4 linked regions of the Schizosaccharomyces pombe genome follow. Changing the gene in region 4 together with the main gene of any one other region gives a genetic interaction. Each region holds a gene or a part of one and is shown on either strand. Other genes may lie near its edges. The genes, in order: ral2, pob1, ste4 and ras1.

Region 1 (5,899 bases), on a different chromosome or scaffold from region 4:
ACATAAAAGATACTTGTCAACTGGTAAGTATCTGATACTAACATATAACTAATTATCTAGAGTTTAAAGAGAATATACCAGACGGAATTGAAAAATTTGTCGAGACACCCAGAGATAGTGAATTTACTGATATTTTCCCTACATCCTCAATCAAAGTTCAAGGATTGAGAAAGGAGACTGGACTGGGGACTTTGGTTTTAAACAAATGTTATGGCTCGTGGAATAATGAAGAAAATGAGGATGGGGAAGAATCGGATATCTTTGACTCTATTGAAACAAACTTAGAAAACTTGGATATTGAAAACAACATTGCTTTAGATAAGAGAACGCATCTAGCTTCCTTACTTTCCAGTCTGTTAGGCTCACTACGTGACAAGAATATCGGATCGAAGGATACAACTGTTTCGCAAATAGTAAGTGCATATTTTTATATTGATAATTTAACTGACAATAGGCTTCTATACTTAGTGAAGATCTTTCTCTAAAACGAGAGATAATACAAGCGCATGGTATCCTTCCACTTTTAGAGACATTGCGCGAAATAAAAACGCCTGATGTTCAATTGCTGTTATTAAAGCTCATTAACACTGTAAGGATATTTAATGCGTGATTTTACTAACGTTAGGTTGCATTCGATGATCACACAACTTTACAAAAAGTTTGCTTTGCTGGAGGTTTACCGCTTATGTTGTCATTCTCTAATCGTGAACACTCTTTTGAGTTTAGATATGAAAGTGCTATCTTTATTCAACAGATGTATAGAACTTCTGCTTTGACATTACAAATGTTTTTGAGCTCAAATGGTCTGAATTCGCTTTTATTATTTATTAAAGAGGACTATGGAACGAACCGTGACTTTGTTTTTGTTGGCGTAGAAGGAATATGGAAATTACTGAGACAACAGGATTACATTCCAAAAAATGATATCTGTACGATGGTTGTAAATGATTCACTAGAGCCCTTGACCAAAGCCATGCTGAAAGCTTTGGCTACTGACGATGATTCTTCAAGAATGTCATTAACACGTATATGTGAAATTTTATTGGCTTTATCTCAGGCTGATAATTATGTTAAGGAATCACTTCTTTGCGAAAGTGCTCTTCGAAGGATATTGCGTATTCTGCTTTATCTGCCGCATTCTGATATGGCGATTACCTTACAGTTTTTCAAGCAACTTTCAATGGTTCCTTCATCTTTGTCGCTTCTTAGGAAAGTTCATATAATACCTCTTTTGACACATATTCTCGGTGACAGCAAAATTGAGAAAGGACGAAAAGAAATTAGAAGCGAAGCTTTGGCCGCTTTATTCAATGTGTGTAAGCTAGATAAGAAATCGCAAGAAGAGGCTGTTATTTCTGGTGCTATTCCATTATTGCAAGAGGTGATTATTAAAGACAGACTGTTTAAGGAGTTTGCGCTGCCGATATTATTAGCTTTGCCACAGGCTGGTCCAGTGTCGAGAATTTATCTTTGGCAAAATAAATGCTTAGATTTTTTTCTCTCGTTATTATCAGATCTTAATTGGCAATCTGCGGTATTTGATACGATCGCATCTTGGTTGCAGTTTGAACTCCGTGAAGTACAACGTGTTTTGGCAGAGAAGAGAAACGTACAATTAGTGTTAAAGGTGTTCTGTATTTCTCAATCAGCTTCCTCAAACAGAATGCTAGATACTTTGGGCAGGGTTTGTCAAATTTCCCCAAGATTGGCAGCCTCTTATGGCCAGCCTATAATATTCCAGAAATTTAAAGAAAAGTTAACTCATAAGGGGACCAAGCCGATTGTGGTCCTAAACATATTTCAAATTATGAAATCAATGTGTGAAGCTAGTAGCCAAAGTGTTGCTTATATTGCGCATTGTGGTTTACCAGATGTGGTTGCAAATTTGAACCAAACAAGTGATTCTGTGCTTGTTAAAGAACTAGCAAAAGACCTGCTGAAATACCTGAAGGTACCACAGGGTCCCATCAATGAGCACAAATCCCCCATTTCGAAACCGCATATGCCTCCACCTAGATGGCAACCAAAGCAGCCATTAACGCAGTGAACACTATTAAACGCATTTCCCAGTGCACGACTATATTACTTGTTTATGATATTTCTGTATTTATGGCTTAATGATTAATAAATAAGGTTGGGATTATGGAATCAATATTTTTTAAACGAAAGTTTTGCTAATTTTAATATTAATATATTATCATTCCATGTGTAAGTACGTTACCAGTTGTGTTTATACCTGAAATACAATCTAATTGAGTACCGCAATGAAGACTATTTATTTACCGAATCTATATTGATGAATCTTAGAAACGTTAAGAGAAAGGTTTATAATATGCTTATCACAGTGTATATTTATATTTATTCATTCAAGTGCTTCGAATTTTAAAATCTAGGTGTGCATAAAAGTTAACTTCACTATATCAGTTAACGCTACGATAGTGCAATACAGGAAGAAATATGCACTAAAACAAAAGGACAACAATGATTTTTATGCTTCTCATTTTTGGCTATTAATTTGCTGCTTTGTTTATTGCATAAATCTTTTTTGACTGTTTGCATTTCAGTAATTATTAATTTTTATGTGGAAGGAAAAATCACTTTTTTGATATTTCTTATTAACGTCGAGTTGCTAAACAGTTTATATCTATGTCAGAAGTAAAAAGGAATATATCTTTGAGAAATTCAACAAACATTTTTACTTCTACATTTAGTTTATCTTCAAATAATGTCCCAAAACCGCTGATTGGGGAGTCAGTTATAAAATATGGAGACGAGGCTTTTGTATATGGAGGACGCGATGCATTAAATGCGCAGCTTGTTAATGATATGTATGTAGTTGATCTTAACACTTGTTCCTGGAAGCAAGTTGAATATCAAGGAAATCAAAAGCCGATACCACGGTATTTCCATTCAGGGGATTTATGGAATAACAAATTAATATTCTTTGGTGGTATGGGATTTAATGATGATACAAAATGTCTTTATGTTCTTAACGACATCGACATATATGATATTGAGACTAAGCAATGGTCTCATATACCTGGCATGATAACAGAGAATCAGACAAATGACGATGCTAAAGAAGTCAATGGATCTGATGTTGATGAAAAAAGCAAACACTTATATCCATCAGCACGTTACGGACATTTGCATTGCGTGTTAGATCATTATCTTATTATATTTTGTGGGCAAGATTTATCAAACAGCTATATTGAAGAGATAAATATTTTTGACCTGGATTCGGGAAAATGGGTTTTTAAATCCCTGTTCAATCATCACTGTGGTATATACAGATCGAATTGTGTGGTAATAAACAAAGATAGTGAATTTTTACAGATGTGTCGACCAATTAATACAACTCAGGATTCTAATGAGCACTCTATCGGTTCTTTGTTTTTTTATTTAAATTACAATTTTGTCAATGTTAAGAGGCAAGTAATATACTTGGAATTATTTGAATTAGATACTGCCGAAAGTGAAAAAAAATCAGCCGCTTTGGCAAAAGATAATAACCAATCTTTCCGTTTCCTAGAGCTTGATGTTACTGAAAAATTCTTAAGTTCAGCAATGCCGCCGGGACTAAGGTTTCCTGCTGTTAACATACTTGGAGACAACTTAATATTATCTGGAATCTACCTTACGAGCTCCAGACAGGCATTCGTGCTTTGGGTCTATTCTCTTGACAAGGAGCTTTGGTTGCAACTCGATATGCTGGGTGTTTTAAACCATGGATCGTGGTTCAAATGTCTAGTCTTAGATTGTACGAATAGGTTTGTGGTTTTTGGAAACAAAACTAGGAAACTTACCCAAGATTATAATTTGCGACAATCAAATTACGATCACATAGTTTTTATTGAGTTAGAAGGATATGGTGTATACAGAAAGCCGCAAATGGGGAGAGTTACGGAGCGATCTGAACAGTTGGGTAAACTACTGTTGAACGGTATAAGTGATATGGAAATTTTGACAATCGAGCGCATGCACATCCCTTGTTTATCGAGAATGCTTTACAAGAGATGGCCTGCATTTCAAAAAATTATGGATCGAGCAGTTGAAAAAAATCAGGAAGCTTTTCAAGCTGAGGTTTCTCAACTGGGTCCTCAGTTAACAGACCTGCCATTCAGTTCTATTCATAGCACAGGAAGCAGGGCGTTGTATATGCCTTATTCATTTGAAACGTGTTCCGCTTTTTTGCATTACATATATTGTGGGACATTAAACGGATCTTATTGTACTGCCAAAAATCTATGTAATCTCCTGATCCTTTGTAAAGGTTTTGAGGGCTTGGAAACCTTTTTTGCCTATATTGTGCATCTCCTCCACGGTGTGCTTAATCGAAATAACGTTAAATTAATTTATGAGACTGCCGCTTTGACGGGTGCAAAAGGTTTGCAATTACGCGCTTTACGTCGTATTGCTCGAATTGAACAAGGAGGCACTGCAATCTCACCCACTTCTCCACTTCCAAACTTAGATGATTAACCTTAACGTTTACCTGATTTCATGAATGATAGTATGTCTGTTAACATTTGATTTGCATTTTGTTCCTCCGTAGCTCTATCAATCTCTAGTTGTCGCTGGCTCACAAACTCTCCTTCTGATTCCTGCCTTCGGGTTACAAAATCAAACCAGCTATAATTTTCTCGTTCTTCCATAAATATGATTCTTGCTTGGTCCCATAATTGGTCCTTTTGATAGGCGTCGTTAGCCTCTTTCTTTTTAGGTTGTGATGATATAGATGCTTCATATTCTTGAAGGGTATTTGCCTCCCATTCTTCTACTTCAGGGAGAGCTTTTGTTCGGAGTAGGGTGGTCAATAATGGCTCTTGTTCTTTAACTGGGAATTCAAGAGACGGGTATATGCTAGTTGTTTGAAGAGTGTGAGAATGAGCTGCTAAATTATTACTTAAAGAATGAATTTGAGACAGCAAAATGTTGAAGTTTTTATGTATCGTAGGCCTGTGTATAAATATTAGTAGGGTTGAAATACAAATGATTACAGATCCGTTTTCTTCGTATATCTTTAACTTAGAATAATGGAGCTATCACTTTTATCCTCAAAAAATAAAATTAAGAACATTCATTTGTGCACATACCATGGTGAAAGAGATTCGCTTTGATGAAGAATTGCAAGAAAATGAGTTAACGATTGAACAATTTGTGCTATTCTATGTCGGATTGCTTCCAAAGATTCCACTGTTTTTTCGGTAGATATGTCTTCCATTTTTTTTTAAGCTTGCTAATCTATTCACAATTTCAACACTTAATGAGTATTCGAGCGTTAAAACTCGAATAACAACACCTCAAAATATATATGTAATCGTTTAATATCTAACGGAAAAGAAGTTGAGCTTTTTCTTTATCCTAAAACTTGTTACAATAGGAATAAATTACAATTCATATGTGTGTTCGTGGTATGCAATACCTCATATTTTACTTAAGGCAGAATAATATGAGTTCGTAAACGTTTTAGAAAATACGTTCCAGCTGTTTAATGTATACATGGTTATTCATATCGTTCAATAGTTTTAATGTCTATGAAATCTATATGATATTTAATCTCATAAACTACTTAAATAAAATTGTCACAAAAGTGGAACTTCGGGTAGCGTAAGTAGCTATAAATGCTCCAACGTTTTAGATTTCTAATATAGAAAGATAGCAACTAATACTTTACTTTGTTTCAAAATGCCGAAAAAATATTTGGTACGTCTTAATTTAGTAAAACGGAATTCTGGCTGTCGAAACATTAGTGTGTCTAAGACATCCACTTGAAATTATAACACTAACTCCCATCATTTAACTTAACAACCTTCATACGTACGTAATTATATTTAACTTAACATTTTTTTACATTTTGGTTTCTAAAGAATAGGCGCAATGACCGAAGATGCAGAAA
Region 2 (6,538 bases), on a different chromosome or scaffold from region 4:
CACCTGCATTCGATTAGTAATGTTCATTAAAGTAGTCAAAAAAAGCTAATGTCAATATACTTATAACCATTAAATCTAGCGGTCTATGAGTATCAAAAAAAACATTTAAAGCTTTTTTTTGCTTAAATATCACTTACGCCACCAATGGGGAACATTCTTATAGGTAATACGGGAAGTAACATCAAACATGATAATACCACATTGACCTTGAATATAGTAACCATCACGAAGGCCACCTAACTTTTCTTGACCAGCGGTATCCCAAACATTAAAGCAAATTTCACCAAAATTAGTATGAAAATGCAAAGGATGGACCTCAACACCCTAAAAATATGTTAGACTGTTGTTTCTAAACGAAAGATCTAAGCATAAAAAGAGTAACTGAAAACCGATGATGCACGAGTACAGATAACTGTATGTCTCATAAAAAGATGGCATTTATTTACGATACTAGGCATCGTTTCCGGTATACAAAAACTGTTCTAATAAAGTAAAATCATAAAACGTACCAAAGTTGCAATATACTTCTTTTCAAATTCACCAGTCAAATGACGCTTGACGAACGTGGTCTTACCGGTACCACCATCGCCGACAAGTACAAGCTTAAAGGTAGGAACGTTTTGTGGTTGAGCCATACTAAACTTTTCTCTGTTGCACCTAAACTAACTGAGAGTTTGGTTAAAGGAAAATTTTAGTGGTGCGTAATTTTTATATGAATAAAAGACCTGGGTATAACAAAACCCTAACCCTGATAGTCGATTGGAATTTAACAGAAAAGGGAGTGTATGGTATAGTTTTTTAATGCCGATTTAACGAATTGTTTAACGAGTTTGACTATTGCTCTTATTGAAGTTGATCGCCAAAAAATGGATATAGTGTCGTTTTTGAAATTTCAAAAAAGAATTGCTTCTACGAAAAGCTACATTTGTGCGTACTTGCTTATACATTCTGGGTTTATACACAACTTACAAGCAGCCAATGCTTACTTTTTGGACGTCACTACACGGTTTTGATTGCATGTAAAGATAAAAAACCGCAGCCAAGAAAACGTATTTGCTAATCCAAGGAATGCCAGGAATGCCCATACATAGAAAACAAACATTCTAAATTTTCATTAGCTATATTAGTATCACTAGTAAAAGGCCTACGAATTCTGCAATGATCCAGGTCCGCTACCAGCGTGGACTCAGCTGGATCGAAATGATCGAAATAAAGATTAAAAATAAAACAAACGAAAGTGGTAGGAAGTCGACAAACAAATGAAAATTATCAGTAAAAAAATGCTGAATTAATAGAATGATGCATTTGCTTTTAAAAATTTATGCAATAAAAGATAAAAGCAAATAATTCAACGTTAAATAAGCCATATGTGCATGATGAAGATACTATAGCTTCCGCTAGTAAATGTCGGTAAACCAGAATCGAAATGAGCGTATCAAATATGCCCGGTTAATTCTTAAATTGGTGTCAAATATGTCCGCAGTAAAAGCATCAACGAATTTAAAATTCAAACATATTAGCTATGTTTTCAATTTTGAAGGGATATTTAGTTTGAAAATAGATTAAGGAAAACCAGATACTAAGAACAGGGTCTGTTGCGCAGGTTTTAGAATTGGAATGTGTTGCACTTTGCTTTTGTGGATTTTGAGGAGTGTCGGTATTTATTTTTGCTTGCTTGATTTCTTATTCTTTTGTTTTGCATTCTTCTTTAATCCAATCGAAGAAGTGAGATTTGCTTCATTTTCATCATCAATTAATAGAGAAGGAGGCCTAGTACGAAGTTCTTTAGCTTTGCTAAGTGAAATGGTAGGCATTCTCGACGTTGTCAAAACAGGTACCGACATATCGCGTTCCACAGTAGCCTTGAGAAAAGCCGAAGACCAACGATGTAATTCTTCATTATTTTCACAAGTAAAATAATGAACCTTTGGTGGAGTGAACATAACTGCTGCTTTAGCGGCACCTGGAGCAGGTGGAATTAACTTGATAGCAGTTTTGCCTCCACTTAGAACAATGTCATCGGTTTTCGTAACACGATGAGAAGTCATATCAATTAGGCCTTTTTCTGAAGCATCATTTAATGAATGGTAATAAGAAAGCCTTGTTCCTTTTAATACAAAGTATCTAGACTTCCAAACACCGTAACGATCACTACGTTTCCGCATCCAACCATGACAGTCCGCCGTTTTAATTGCTTCTTTGGCAGGTATATTACTTAATCCTTCACTAATTCCAGTAGGTAAAACCTTTTGTCTCCCAAAAATATCACGTTTCGACTTTCGTTTACCTATTGGCTCTTTATTTAATGGTGATGAAGCAACAGAACGAAGGGTTGGACGAGTCTTTAACTCAGTGCCGACTGGAGGTGAAGCGGGTAAGGAAGCAGCCGGAGATGGAGCAACAAAAGTATTTCCTAATTTTGAGCCCTTCGTATCTTTGGGTTGAGGTTTTGAAAGAGGAGTGGCATAATTATTAACAGCGGATTTTTCGTTTATGGACACCCCTTTGCTTGTGACAGGCGATGATGCTTTTGCTGATGGGTCTGGCATTGATTCAGGTGACTTAGTAACAGAACTTGAACTCCCTTGTTCGAGATTGCTACTAGGGAGTCGAGAACTTATCGATGAAGGACTTTCACCATCAATAGTAGTAATCTTTGGAGGATCCAATTCTTCCAAAGCTTCGATAGATATAGCTGAAGCTGGTGCTTTTCCTTTCATAGCACTTGGAATAGGTCTAGGAGGTACGGAAGAAGATTCCGATGCACCGCCCGTAAATTTAGTAGGAACGTTAGAAGATGGTTGAGGAGCATACAAGTTGCCCTTAGATGAATGATAAGGTAAACCAGGAAATGAAGTTCCTTCCTTATCAACATCAATGCTACTGGTAGAAGGAGAAGAGATGGGCTCAGTAAGACGAGAAGGTAAACCGCTATTTTGAGAAATTGAGTCCGTAGGGGATGAACGTTTTAATATCGGTGATGTGGCCGAAGGTTCGTTAGAATCAAAACGAGATACATTTTCAGGGACCGCAGATTGCGTAGACTTAGAATTGCGCGAACTTGGTGTGGCTAAAGGAGGAATCACGTATTGGTTCCAATCGGTAGATGGAGATGAGTCCAAATCAGGTGAAACAATCATATTTGACAAAGAAGGCATCACACTAGTCGGACGATTAACATAATCGTTAAATCCCGGACGAGTTGGACTGGATTTTGATGGTGAACCGCCGGCTTCATCATTAGATTTTTTTGGAATAGAAGAGGAGGAATCAGAACTTTGGCTAACAGAAATAGGCTCAGCAAACTGCGGATATTCTTCATATAAAGATTGTTCGTATGAATCTTTTAATTGTTGGATCTTTCGTAAAACTTCAAAACGTTTTCCAAAAGAAGTAATGTTAAGTTCTTTCAAAACATTGGAATCTAAGCCTAATAAAATTTCACCGGTTATTTCATTCTCCGCAAAATTAGGAGCTACTGATCCAAGGCCGGCATTCATAAGCCATTCAACTACCTCTTCCGTAGACCAGTTAGGAACATTTTGAATTTTTTCGGAAACAGCAAGAGAGGATGCAGGTCGATTTTCAATATAGGGCAAAGGTGAACTGTCATTTGGAGTACGAGATGCTGAAGTTGACATATTCTGTAAAGCTGTTTCAATATCTGTAATAGTTTCTCTAACGGAATCCTCAGCTGACAAAACCTTTTTCAAGCTTGCTGAAGTAGCAGGAGCAGAAGTAGAAGCAGAAGCATTATTATAATCGGCATCAATAGTGTTGAAGTTTGATAGATCTGAGGAAGGTTGGTTATCCAACAAAGGGGAAGGGCCTTCTTGTTTAGAAGATGGAAACATTGAGTTAAAATTACTAGGGACCGAAGGTTTCGAAAGACTATCAAGGGGGCCGTTTAAGATTGATGAGTGACTTGAAGACAAGGAATTATTCGAATACAACTTTTCACTGTCCTTGTCCGATCGTGAAGAAGTTGACCGGCTGCTTGATAAAGAGGATCTTGTGACTTCCGCGGTAGAAATGGAGAAATCTTCTTTGCCTCTTCTTGAATCACTTGAGTCAGACCTCTCATCAGATATCAATTCTACGTGCGAAGCAGGAAAAATACCCCTATTTCCCTGTTCATCTTCTCCCTATTAAAACTTAGTTAGTATGATAAAAATATATCAAGGTTTCACAATCCTAAGGGCATGCAACTTTGACATATAGTGTTTGCATCTTTATGTGGATTGGAAAACTGTACAAAGCAGGCATCAAGAATCCTTCAAATTATAAAATATACCAGGAATAAAAATAATAGGATTTTGACTTCGAAGTTATATACTTACTTCCCACCAACCATCACCAAATTCTTCATCCATCTTTATCAACAGATACTTCCGACCTTCAACCAACGGAAGTTCATCACTACTCTTCCCCGGAAAGGAATGCAAAGCAATCACGAACCGCTGACTTGCCATAGTTGTGGTAAAAGCAGAAAAAACACAGCTATGTGGTTATGCGGTGTTGTAATCGAAGGCTTAAATCTTGATGGCTGGCAAAACAGTGTTTACCGTGTTTGGCTTAGCCCACTTTAACGATAATAATCTATGTGGGGAAAGACGACCTTCGTGGGGGCTTTGCTTTTTGAAATCTGCAAGTCTGTTATATTACATTAGGAGAGTGTTGCAGAATGTGTTTTGACCTAGTCATGGTTTAACCAGTACTTACGTGGGGGTAATAGTAGTATTAGGTGTTGAATAGGTGTTTTATTTATTTCTTCTAATATACATGTCGGTACGTTTGAAGGCAAAGGATAGAATGTCTCATCTTCGTATATTAACGAATAAATGAAGGACCAAAGAACTAAGAATTGTGATTATGCTTACGTTTCCATTGAAATACGCTTAGTATAACGATGAGGGTGACAATTGCATAGTTACTATAATACATGTATCTAATTTATTTATTCACGTGTGTAATGAGGTCGATTGACTTGATCTACCACAAAGGTATTATGGAAATGCGATCGAGTATTAACCAGGTAACTTATTATTTATACAAGGTCCGTCTACGGTTGAAGGTAATTATTGGATAACTTCGCTAATATTTCACAATACTAAAATAAAAAATGAGCTAAACTCGTATTTGACCATATTCCTGGGATATCAACAGTCCACTATATGATTTTGCTTAATAAGAATCATTAGCTATCTGAATGCATGATTATTTAACAGCATCCCTCGCAGACAGAATTCTATACCCTTTACGATCTAATAATTGCAAATATTTCATACATGTATGGGAATATTAGATGATTACCGTTAAAGTGATTTATTGCTAAAAATTGCAAATACAGTTTTCCCTTCAGAGGATAGTAAGAATGTGTATATAAAAATTTAGTAATAAACAGTAAGTTTACTTAACATTGCAAGTTATAGATAAAATAGCATCAACCACTTTATCAGAGTTCTTCTGGGAGCTTGTCTCGATACTTGCAAATGTGTCCTGGACTTGCTTTTTGCTCTCCGCTTCAGCCTGACTATATATACCAGAAGCCTGATATGTTAAAATTGATTGTCCAAACTCTTAAAAACTGTATTGAATAACTTTACCTGACTTTCTGACTTTTTGAATTCCTCTTCCTTCTTGGAAGCGTATTCATCAATTTCGCGTTTAGCCTCAAGACGTGCATCCTTCAATCTTTGAGTGCGATCTTTTTATCTTTTAGAAACGTTGCTCCGATTGATTAAACTTACGTTGGCGAGCCTTTTCGACTATATTTCTAGCAACTTTTTCAGCCTACATATCTCATTAGAAATAACGATCTTGGAATTACCTGAACTTACCTCTAAAAGTTGTTGGATACCAGAATTCGTTTGAGCACTCTAAAAAGAAGTCAGAAATTGCTCCTTATAATAAAAATACAAATTACCATTATGTCTGTAAATTTAATCGTACTTGAGGAAGGGTCTATGGTCGAAGAAGTAATACTGGTTTGATAAACTACTCGATCTCCGTAACGTACTCTATCTACTCTGCTATCCACTAATTCCGTATCTTCTTAAACTCGCTAACGATATGGTAAGATGCGATGTTTTGATTGAAATAATGTTTGCTCCTAAATTTGGATACTATATAATAAAATCAGATTCTTACTATCCTCGGTTATAATTGTTGGGCAACGCGCCGTTGTTTGCTCAGGTGAACTGGAACTTAATAAGTAAATTCGGTATTGTTTTACATTTTTAGGCATATGATCAAGAACTGTAAGTAAACAGATAGCAGAAACCATTTGAATCTTACAATATTACATGATAGTACGTTCGAGCAGCACTGAATTTAACAAGTGCATCTAATAATGCTGTTACGGCGTATACAGCATCCTTGCAAATATAAGCATTGCTAAACATAACTCATTTATGTTTTATAGACATTACTTTCAAAACATCAAATTTTTCTATTTATATGCTCTTTTTAACAACCACCATACCTAAATGAATTACTATTTTAAACTTAGTATATTTTCTAGGCAGCGTATTTTTTG
Region 3 (4,570 bases), 720 kb from region 4:
TGTGAATACAATAATGGGTATATATACGTAGCCTTCTGGCTTCACACTTTTTTATTTATATTCAATGTCCGTCTTATCACTTTCCGACCTACCTAGCAGATTTACATTTTCTAGTGAATCGTCCTCTTCAAGTTCAATTCTTTTCGCTTCTACTTTGGCATCGGAATCTAGACTTTCTGATTTATCTACCGGCTCTATACGGGATTCCGACTGTTTCAGTTTTAATGTCCATGAATTAAATCAGTCAGATGAAATCCTTGAAATTGATTTTCGTTTTTTCTCAAAGAAAAAAAAAAATGAACATTTCTCTAAGCGTAGAAAATTATCAAAAGTACTGACTCCACCAACAAATGATGAAATTAAATTTGTTAATAGGCATACGGGATCAAAACCCCAGCCAAATTTTTATTCATCTTCCGAATCAAGCGAAAAGGAACTAATTTGGTTTCAGCCAAAAATGCGTGTTTTTCTACAAAGCTTGTCTAACATGAGTTACTTGTCTCCTTCCAAATTTCGGTATACCACCGTGTACTCCAAGCAACCCAACGCATGTTGCATTGTCTGAAATTGTTAATACATAGCTTACAAAAATAAGCGTAGTACAACATGATGAATATTTTATTGACGGAGTAAACTACGTTTCGGGGCATAATTTTGCGCCTTATTTACGAACTTCACATATTGCATATATCATTGGTTTCAAATTCATTAAAAAACCACAATTTTTTTCTAAAAATTTCTAATCACGCTTCAATTTTTTTTTTAGGCTGTTAACCTTCTTTGTCATTTCATTTCCTGTTGAAGCATGTTAAAATTTAATGTTTAATTTTTTCTGTTATTATATTACATGGTTCATTTTCATTGTCTTAATACATTCCATAGATTCATTTATATCATATTAATAAACCTTAGGGCATACCCCATGAATAAAAAAAAAAATATATATTTTAAGCATATTAGATAGAATATTAGATAGAATATTAGGAGGTACGGCTAAAAAAATCAATCCATCTTTAAATACTGATAAACATACCAAGGCGTAAGTAAAATAACTTAAATATCTGCAAATGAGTCATTAAAAAAATTGAAAACTATTCATTAAATTCAATTCATAAATAGATGGCTTTTAAAAAGCTTAGTTAACAAGAGCGTCGAGATAAAACAAAAGAAGGCGACTTTCCCCTCTTTTGTAGGTTTCGAAATAGTTGAAGTGGCTTTACATCCATAGGTATGGCATGCTCCTTATCATCGTAGTTTATAAGCAAATCATAGCTCATCCAAGTGTTTGGATCGATTCGGTATCGTTGCAACATGGAGCATAACACTTCATTGTAGGTTAAGTTCACATTTAATTTTCTGTTTTTCTCCGCGTTTGTCAAAGAATCATTAACCTCTAAATCAAAACTTCCAAGAACAGATGGTGAAGGCTGAACAGGGTGAGTCATCGAACTAGTGTCAGATGAATTTTCGGTAGTAAGCTGTCTTCCTTCCTTAACATTTATGGCAATTTTTCTTAGTAACTGAAGAAATTCCGAGTTCAAAGAGTTTAGTGTTTTTACCAATTTAGTGTTTTCCGTTTCCAAGTATTCCACACGTTTTTCTAAAGAGACATTGTCATCTGATAAATGTTCGGTTTTTTCCTCTAGCTTCTTGTAAGACTCTTCTATATTTTTCAGTTCTTGATCCTTATTTTCTTGCTGCAGTTTATCCTTCTGCTGCTTTTTCATTGACTGTATTGCTGATAAAATGTCAATACGATGGCCCACACTCTCAATTCCCATGTCTCGAAGATCATTTGAACTTAACAGGTCTATGTCTTTTCCAAGAATATGGTAGTCTAGAAATTCTTAGTAAATTGCCATGAAATTGAACCAACTTTGGAGAAACTCATTGTTCCCAATCCCCCATTGACTATAAAAGAAAGAGCATTCAATAAGGATTAATGAGAGGCGAGCAAATAATTCTTTGAATTAAACTTCTGTTATGCATACATACCTTCAAACGCTTCTTTATGGGGAAAACCAAGCTGTTCTATCCAATTGCAAACTGCTTCATTGTTCCAATTCCAATAAAAATCGTCAGAATCTCCCATTAATTTTGCTTAGGATAGCAATGTAAAGGGCGTAGTTAATATATATGCTTCTGATGCTGACCTGCCCACTACTTTTATAACAAAGAAAGCATACTCATTTACCAAAAGTTAGTGGATATGCAAATTTAAATACAATATCAAAAATCAGCATAAAAAATGATAAAAAATAAGACCCTTAAATCTTATTGGAAAAGTGATTTTGGATGTGATTTGGGACTTTGAATTTGGATTAGCTATAAAATCTGTAAATTATGGGACGTAAACAAGAGCATGTATGCCGATGCTAATTTGACTTGCCCAGTTTTTTTCACTTATTAAAGAAAAGTTTTATTATCCCTATTATATTAGAAAAATTGGTAAACAATAAATTTAGAGTTTCAAGTTCACAGAATAAAGGCACAATTGATATCAAACATCGGTACGTTGTCCAAGTATGAATAAAGCTCAAAGCAAAAAAACCCAATCGAGAAGAGAATTTTTTGTAGCATTGTTGTACAAAGAGTAGTTTACAAAAAAAATTCTGTTTTTCTTATTTGACAAAACTAAATAATAAAAGTTGTTTTGTTATAGCACTTGAGAGCAAAAAGTTTTTATGTATCATAACGAGATATACCGCACTCGAATGTAAGAACGCAAATTTTCCAGTGGAAAACAAGCGTCGAACAACCATTGCTTCTAATACTTTAATTTAATTTTACTGATCAATAATTCCTATTTTCGTTAGTATTTGTGGAGGTCAAAGCTGTGTAGGAATTATTTTTTTTTGTAACTTCTTCTCTTCATCTCCACCGAGTGCTGTGTGAAACTTTTGAACCTCAGAAACGCTTATTTTGCCAATTTTCACAGTTTCAGAAAATTGTGTTTAAACTTAAAGTAAAAATGGCTTCTTTTGGTGAACTATCGTTTCTCAGCGAAATTTCGAATATTCATAAATCGAATAAAAAGCATGAAATTCAGAGTGCTGGCACGGTTGCTTTGGATAACGGAGTTGAATCTCCTTATTATATATGTGTTCAAGTGGAAAATCAGGGAATTGAAGTTTATCATATGAAGGATGAACGCTTATTCGCTTCATGTCCTCTACCTGAGAAGACACGGTTTTCCTGCTCACCCATCTACATTAAAGAAGGAAATTGGCATTATATTTGGACCTGCACCTCTCTTAAAAGTAATGGGGAATGGAAAATACTTCTTTGGAAGTTCAACGACCTCGAGGAGGAAAGCGAAGTTGTATATCGTGATATTTCCAACCAACAAATATTTGCTCTTCATTTCATCTCGTCAACTGGTCAACTAGTGATTGTATTTCGAAACGGAAAAATTGCGTTTCTCGATCCCGAAGATGACAAAGTTCACATGAGTGCCTCCGTTAACGAATCAGCCACATTGCTTCAATCAATGTATGTTCCTTCACAAGCAAATCCTATTGATGCTGTACGATTAGCATCTAACGAAGCAAGTGGCACTAATAATAATCCAAAGGAAATCGAGATGAACAGCGACACAACTTCTTCAGTACCAAAGTCAGGGTCTACCAGTTTTAGCGCTAATGTCACCTCATCCACATCCATGGTATATTTATTGTATAGTGTACATGTCGACAAAATTATACAATATTATGTAGATTCTTTTTCAGTTTCTGAAAGACGTCTCGTGAATACGAGAGCTGTGGTTCTAAAGGAAGTTCAGGCTCCTTCGCACATTCTGATGTCTAAAGACTCTACAAGTATATATACGATTTCCCTCGAAGGGCTATCCATATACTCACTTCATGATGAGTCCAAATCTTATATGCTTATTAAAATTCTTCATTTCCAAAGCATATCGAAAATTGAACACATAGAGCTTATTTCGGATAATTTTTTGTTAATTCAACATGATAGTCAACTATCTTTATGGGACATAACATTCGGAACTATTCAAGATGTTTACGATTTGAAACAGAAACCCACGATTCTCACTTTTACCTGTTATAAGTCGTCTTTAAAAAAAATGAATCAAAACTCCCAATTAACTGGATACATTGCTGTATTATTAAAGAAGGGACTGGCCATTGTACCATATACATTGCCGATAAAAATGCTTCTTGCCGATGCAGTTGGTAAACGTACTTCAAAAATCGGAAAGCTACGCGGAACCAATGAACTCATCGGCGAAGGAGTTTTAACAAAATCTAAAAATGGTCCTTCGATGCGTGACCAACTATTGAAAAATATACAGTTGCAAGATCATTCACTTCGTGATGAATTAATTTCCTTGCGTTCCTTAGCTGAACAAAAAAATACCATAGAGTTTGATGCTAAGTTCCTAGGTGTTGTCGAACGATACCAGAATCAGTATGCCAACAATTGCAAAATTCTTAAAACAAGCAGTGTGCTTCCTATTCCATTTGCTCATGCAATTGAAAGTCTCTTGTTTTCCCTTGATGAGGAAAATGAGCTTCAGGTCAGTTGTGCAGCTTCAGGGACACTCAATTAC
Region 4 (4,675 bases):
AAAAATCGGCAACTCAACAATTATTTGAGCATTAGGAGTGCCTTTCTTTATTTATTATTGGGATACTCAGGGGCTTAATTTTTTATTTTTTAGCAACGGATTGGTTTTCTTTTGATCCTTTATTATTAGCCTACAAATATATTTGTTAAATTACAGCCTTTTTTTTACCTTACCTATGGGCTTACTGGAATTCTAACAGAAGCTAAAAGATACTTTCATTTTCTTTCAAAAGCATAATTGATTGCTTTATAGGTAATCTTGTTGGACAATCTGAAGTGTTTTCTATTCAGATTACTGTTTGCTACTACTATAAGTGTTCTCGTGTTCCTTCAATCACTGTTATTGATCCAAGATATTTGGACATTTGATGCTAAATCTTATTTACATGTAATTTTGTTTGTAGTAAGAAGTTGAAAACGTTCAGTTTTAACAATTTTTTTATGTTTAGGCATTTGGTACGAAAAGTTTTGTCCTTCCATTTATCTTTTTAATCCCCTCTTTATTTAACTTAAACACTTTCAGGGATTCTACATGCCTAACTCAACTGCCCAATATCCGGAAAAGGATTCATGGGAATTCTTAGTCAAATCTGGAATTGCTGGTGGTACAGCTGGATGCGTTGCAAAATCAGTAGTTGCCCCATTAGATAGAGTGAAAATCCTTTACCAAACCAATCACGCTTCTTATCGAGGGTATGCTTATTCACGGCATGGGCTTTATAAGGCTATCAAACACATTTACCACGTCTATGGCTTACACGGTCTTTATCAAGGCCACACTGCTACTTTATACAGAGTCTTCCCTTATGCGGGCATTAAATTTGTTGCATACGAACAAGTACGGCGTGTTTTAATTCGTGACCCTGAACATGAAACACATGCTCGGCGATTTTTATCAGGATCACTTGCCGGAACTTGCTCTGTTTTTTTTACATACCCGTTAGAGCTGATTCGTGTTCGTTTAGCCTACATAACCAATACAGGGAAGAATCCTACCCTAACTCAAGTTACAAAAGATATATTTCACGAACGTGATTTTTTGTGCAATAAGAAGTATCCTGGGTTATCCCGTTTGTCAAAAATCTGTAATTTTTATCGTGGATTTTCTGTTACGTTAACTGGAATCTTTCCATATGCTGGTATGTCGTTTCTTGCCTACGATCTTGCAACTGATTTTTTTCATAAACAAAAAATTGACGAATGGGTTTCTACAAAAAAGTCAGATAAAAAACTTAAAACTTGGCCCGAACTACTTTGTGGAGCATTTGCAGGAGTTTGTGGTCAAACGGTTTCTTACCCATTCGAAGTTTGTCGACGAAAAATGCAAATTGGTGGTATCAGAAAAAATAAATCATTTCTTAGACTTAAGCAGGTAGTACAAACTACTTACAAAGAAGCCGGTATGAGAGGTTTTTTCGTTGGACTTACCATAGGTTACATTAAGGTTATCCCAATGGTAAGCACTAGCTTTTTTGTTTACAATCACAGCAAAGCGCTTTTAGGGATAGATTGAGACTGCAGACATAGTTTTCTATGAAAAAAATTATCCCTTTTTTAAAAATTTATAAAAAAAGATCTACGGGATTATAGGTGTATGATATATTCATTAGTTGCAGATTGTTACATCGTGACCATGCAATGAAAGAGATGTATTTTATTAAAACGGAACAAGAAATAGCAACCCAAAGTCAAATAACACGTTTTTTCTAAGTCCACAACTCTGAATTGAATAATTTGCTATCATACTAGCAGCCAAAACTAGATGTGCAAATGGTTCAAAGGGAAAATGAAGTACTTAAAGATAGCTGCTAATAATTGTGTTAAATGAAAAAACAATTATTGAAATGAAAAGAAAGAGATGAAACAAAAGACAGGAACGGTGCATTCACCAAACAGCTCAAATATTCTGCAATAATACTTGCTAACATATAACACAACATTTAGTTGAAACCTCATCTTCGGTTTTACTGTTATTTACAGCGCTAGCTCTTTTAGCAGTTGAAGCTGGAACTTGGGCAGTCTGGACGGCCTGCTTATTCTGAAAACCTTTTTCTTCTGATTTGTTATAGCGACGGATCGTGCGAACCAAACTATAAAAAGCTTCTTCTACATTTAACCTTAGCTTCGCCGAAGTTTCAACATATAAACAATGCATGCTTTTTGCAAGTTGTTCGCCTTCAGCTCTTGAAACTACACGTTCAGCTTCAAGGTCGCATTTATTAGCCACTAAAACGACTGGAAATGTATCCTTATCCTTAACTCTAAGGATTTGTTGATAAAATGTAGAAATTTCGTCAAAAGAGGACCGAGAGGTAATATTATAAACTAATAAAAAACCCTCTCCGGTTCTCATATATTGTTCACGCATAGCGGAATATTCCTCTTGACCGGCCGTGTCCAATACATCTAAAAGCGCACCTTCACCATCAATTTCACACTTTTTCCGATATGAATCTTCGATTGTAGGATCGTATTCGTCAACAAAATGCGATTGAATTAATTGAATTGTCAAAGCACTTTTACCAACACCACCATCTCCTACAACTACCAATTTGTACTCTCTTAAGTAGGTAGACTATAAATATTATCGTTGATTAGTTTGTTGTAATCAATAAAAGATAACCCCAAGTCATTGCTTAGACTTACCCTCATATTCACTATTTTATAAAGCACACTAAGTTTAATCGTATATTTCTTTAGGTTGCTTTTAAAACAAAATACAAAAAGTGTGTAGGCTTGGTAATTAAAAAATATTGGTTGGTCTTAAGCTCGTTAAAATGTGTTTGGCAGTTTTCAAGTAATGCAGTCAACAATTACTGATGGCAAACCGACAAGCTAGTAATAAAGAAATTCAGAAGTTATAATTTTTTAAAGGTATCTGGTGCAATAAAAACGAAATATTAATGTTAACAGCTAATTATGTTAAATCCATCAATAAACATTTGATCTTCTATTAAAATACCAAAAATTCTGCCATTTGTATTTGACAGATATATTGCATTAGTGCTTTGTCTACCTTTAAAAGCATACGAAGTATTGTTTGAAGAATTCCCTATTCAGCCCAACTTAACCAAATTAGCAGCAAATTTAAGTATTGCTTTTGAACTTTCTATACTGAACATTAAATATTTCTTTATTAAAATTAAAAAGCTTCTAAAAATTTTGCTCAAGTGTTCGCAATACATGCATGAAGAGGTCGGCACCATATATTATTTTGTATATGTTAAACTCCTTTCATGCGTTTTATCGACCGTGGAAAGAGATACGATAGTGGAGATTTTCATTCAAAAACATTTTCGTTTGCTATAAATATACAATGAGACATTGATAATTGCATATAGTCTTAAAATTACATTCTAGCGGCAAAAACAGAATTGATAGAAAACGTTAAGGATGTAGTTTCTCAAGATTTTCAATAATACTTTTTAGATCTTGAACAGAAATATCAAGCTTTGTACCCTCATGACCACCATTTACAATTTCATTCAATATAGGTTCACGTAAACCAAGGATGCTCTCAATCAAAGAGCCATCAATTAAATCAGATGGACTGGTCTCATTTTCACCTCGATACTCTTTCCATTCCTTATGACTCAAGCCTCCAAACGAAGGTATAACTTTTCTAATGTTATCCTGCAGCTGTAGTAACAAAGGAGTATTAGACATTCCGGCATCACCCACAATCATGAGGCTGCCGTCAACTGTTGCGCATAACAACTGTGGTGTGACAAGGGATTTATCCTGTGGTTCTATAAATGTGCAGTGCCTAGTTTTATTTATCAATTCACCAAGATAGAACTTTTTGTACCAACGTAACTTTTTTCTATCGGACAATTGAGGAGAGACATTGTCTCTCAAAAGAATCACTGCGTTGCCATCTGCTTCAGTTACAAAGTACTTTCTTTCTGACAAAATTTCAACGGATGTTGCCCACAATGGATGATAGTCTCTGGCAACTTCTATTAGTTGATCATCAATAAATTGTAGAACGGTAATAGACTTCATTAAATCTGCTGCGATGATTTCGTCCTGATTAACGGAAATGTCGATCGTATAAGTAGGTGTCCTAATAGAATTCCTTACGTGCATAGTACCGTGTTCATATTCGAAAATACAGACACTGGCATTAATGCCGGCGACTATCAAATGTTTATACAGAACTAAAGTGTTCACAGATCCCTGGACCTTATGTTCAGCTTGCATTTCGATATTATTATCGGAAGTCATCTCAAAGACCATTAAACGGCCTGAATCTGGGGCATCTTGATCTGGAAAGTTGAAACCTGTGCCCACAACCACACGTTTATCATCATTCATTAAAATGATACTTTCAACCATTTCATATTCATTAAACTTATGATGAGCAATCTCACTTAAAGTGTTTTTTTCGTAAACTCTCAAGAAAGACAATAAACGTTGCTCCTGTGTACCAATCGACTCTTCTAGTTGCATACATAAGACAAAGTAAAACAACGAATTTGAACAAATTCTCCGCGGAAACCCTTTGACAGAAACAGTTTGAACATTTAAGCTTCGAATTTCACTCATTTTAGCAAGAGATATATAACTATTAGTGCAATAAAGCATATTTACTCCTAAGGAAGGGTTCACATAAGAAGATATATTCAACATTTCCGTACAAGAAAGTGGTGTAATTACCAATTTATCTGACTCAT

The links.
Region 1: of ras1 (region 4) and ral2, changing one suppresses a phenotype caused by changing the other (phenotypic suppression), as found in Schizosaccharomyces pombe (2 studies listed by BioGRID).
Region 2: of ras1 (region 4) and pob1, changing one suppresses a phenotype caused by changing the other (phenotypic suppression), as found in Schizosaccharomyces pombe (one study listed by BioGRID).
Region 3: of ras1 (region 4) and ste4, changing one suppresses a phenotype caused by changing the other (phenotypic suppression), as found in Schizosaccharomyces pombe (one study listed by BioGRID).

Annotation. Positions count from the first base shown.
Region 1 is NC_003423.3:3,218,929-3,224,827, reverse strand, and holds ral2 (Ras1-Scd pathway protein Ral2), read left to right. Parts: upstream 1-2,490; 5' UTR 2,491-2,646; coding exon 2,647-4,482; 3' UTR 4,483-4,484; downstream 4,485-5,899. Other genes in the region: serine/threonine protein kinase SIN pathway Cdc7, read left to right, coding at 1-23, 61-413, 455-589, 626-2,047; mediator complex subunit Med8, read right to left, coding at 4,485-4,959, 5,097-5,224; SPOM_SPBC21.03C (EVE domain (PUA-related) protein, implicated in tRNA metabolism (possible RNA binding domain associated with tRNA methyltransferases)), read left to right, coding at 5,881-5,899. UniProt on the Schizosaccharomyces pombe protein: Essential for mating and for recognition of the mating pheromone, and for the determination of cell shape. Implicated in activation of the ras1 protein.
Region 2 is NC_003423.3:4,386,682-4,393,219, forward strand, and holds pob1 (Boi family protein), read right to left. Parts: upstream 4,482-6,538; 5' UTR 4,473-4,481; coding exon 4,341-4,472; intron 4,146-4,340; coding exon 1,662-4,145; 3' UTR 1,115-1,661; downstream 1-1,114. Other genes in the region: Ran GTPase Spi1, read right to left, coding at 1-3, 138-324, 510-635; vma10 (V-type ATPase V1 domain subunit G), read right to left, coding at 5,410-5,550, 5,607-5,707, 5,751-5,793, 5,841-5,879, 5,927-5,929. UniProt on the Schizosaccharomyces pombe protein: Has a role in cell elongation and separation.
Region 3 is NC_003424.3:1,294,419-1,298,988, forward strand, and holds ste4 (MAPK cascade adaptor protein Ste4), read right to left. Parts: upstream 2,126-4,570; 5' UTR 2,093-2,125; coding exon 1,996-2,092; intron 1,838-1,995; coding exon 1,140-1,837; 3' UTR 898-1,139; downstream 1-897. Other genes in the region: SPOM_SPAC1565.03 (uncharacterized protein), read left to right, coding at 65-565; protein Utp8, read left to right, coding at 2,972-4,570. UniProt on the Schizosaccharomyces pombe protein: Essential for mating and meiosis.
Region 4 is NC_003424.3:2,017,838-2,022,512, forward strand, and holds ras1 (GTPase Ras1), read right to left. Parts: upstream 2,795-4,675; 5' UTR 2,652-2,794; coding exon 2,646-2,651; exon of another isoform or gene 2,575-2,645; coding exon 1,921-2,574; 3' UTR 1,625-1,920; downstream 1-1,624. Other genes in the region: leu5 (coenzyme A transporter), read left to right, coding at 532-1,512; protein Ddb1, read right to left, coding at 3,387-4,675. UniProt on the Schizosaccharomyces pombe protein: Participates in the process of sexual differentiation and the determination of cell shape. Essential for mating and for recognition of the mating pheromone, but not for vegetative growth. Does not regulate the intracellular cAMP level.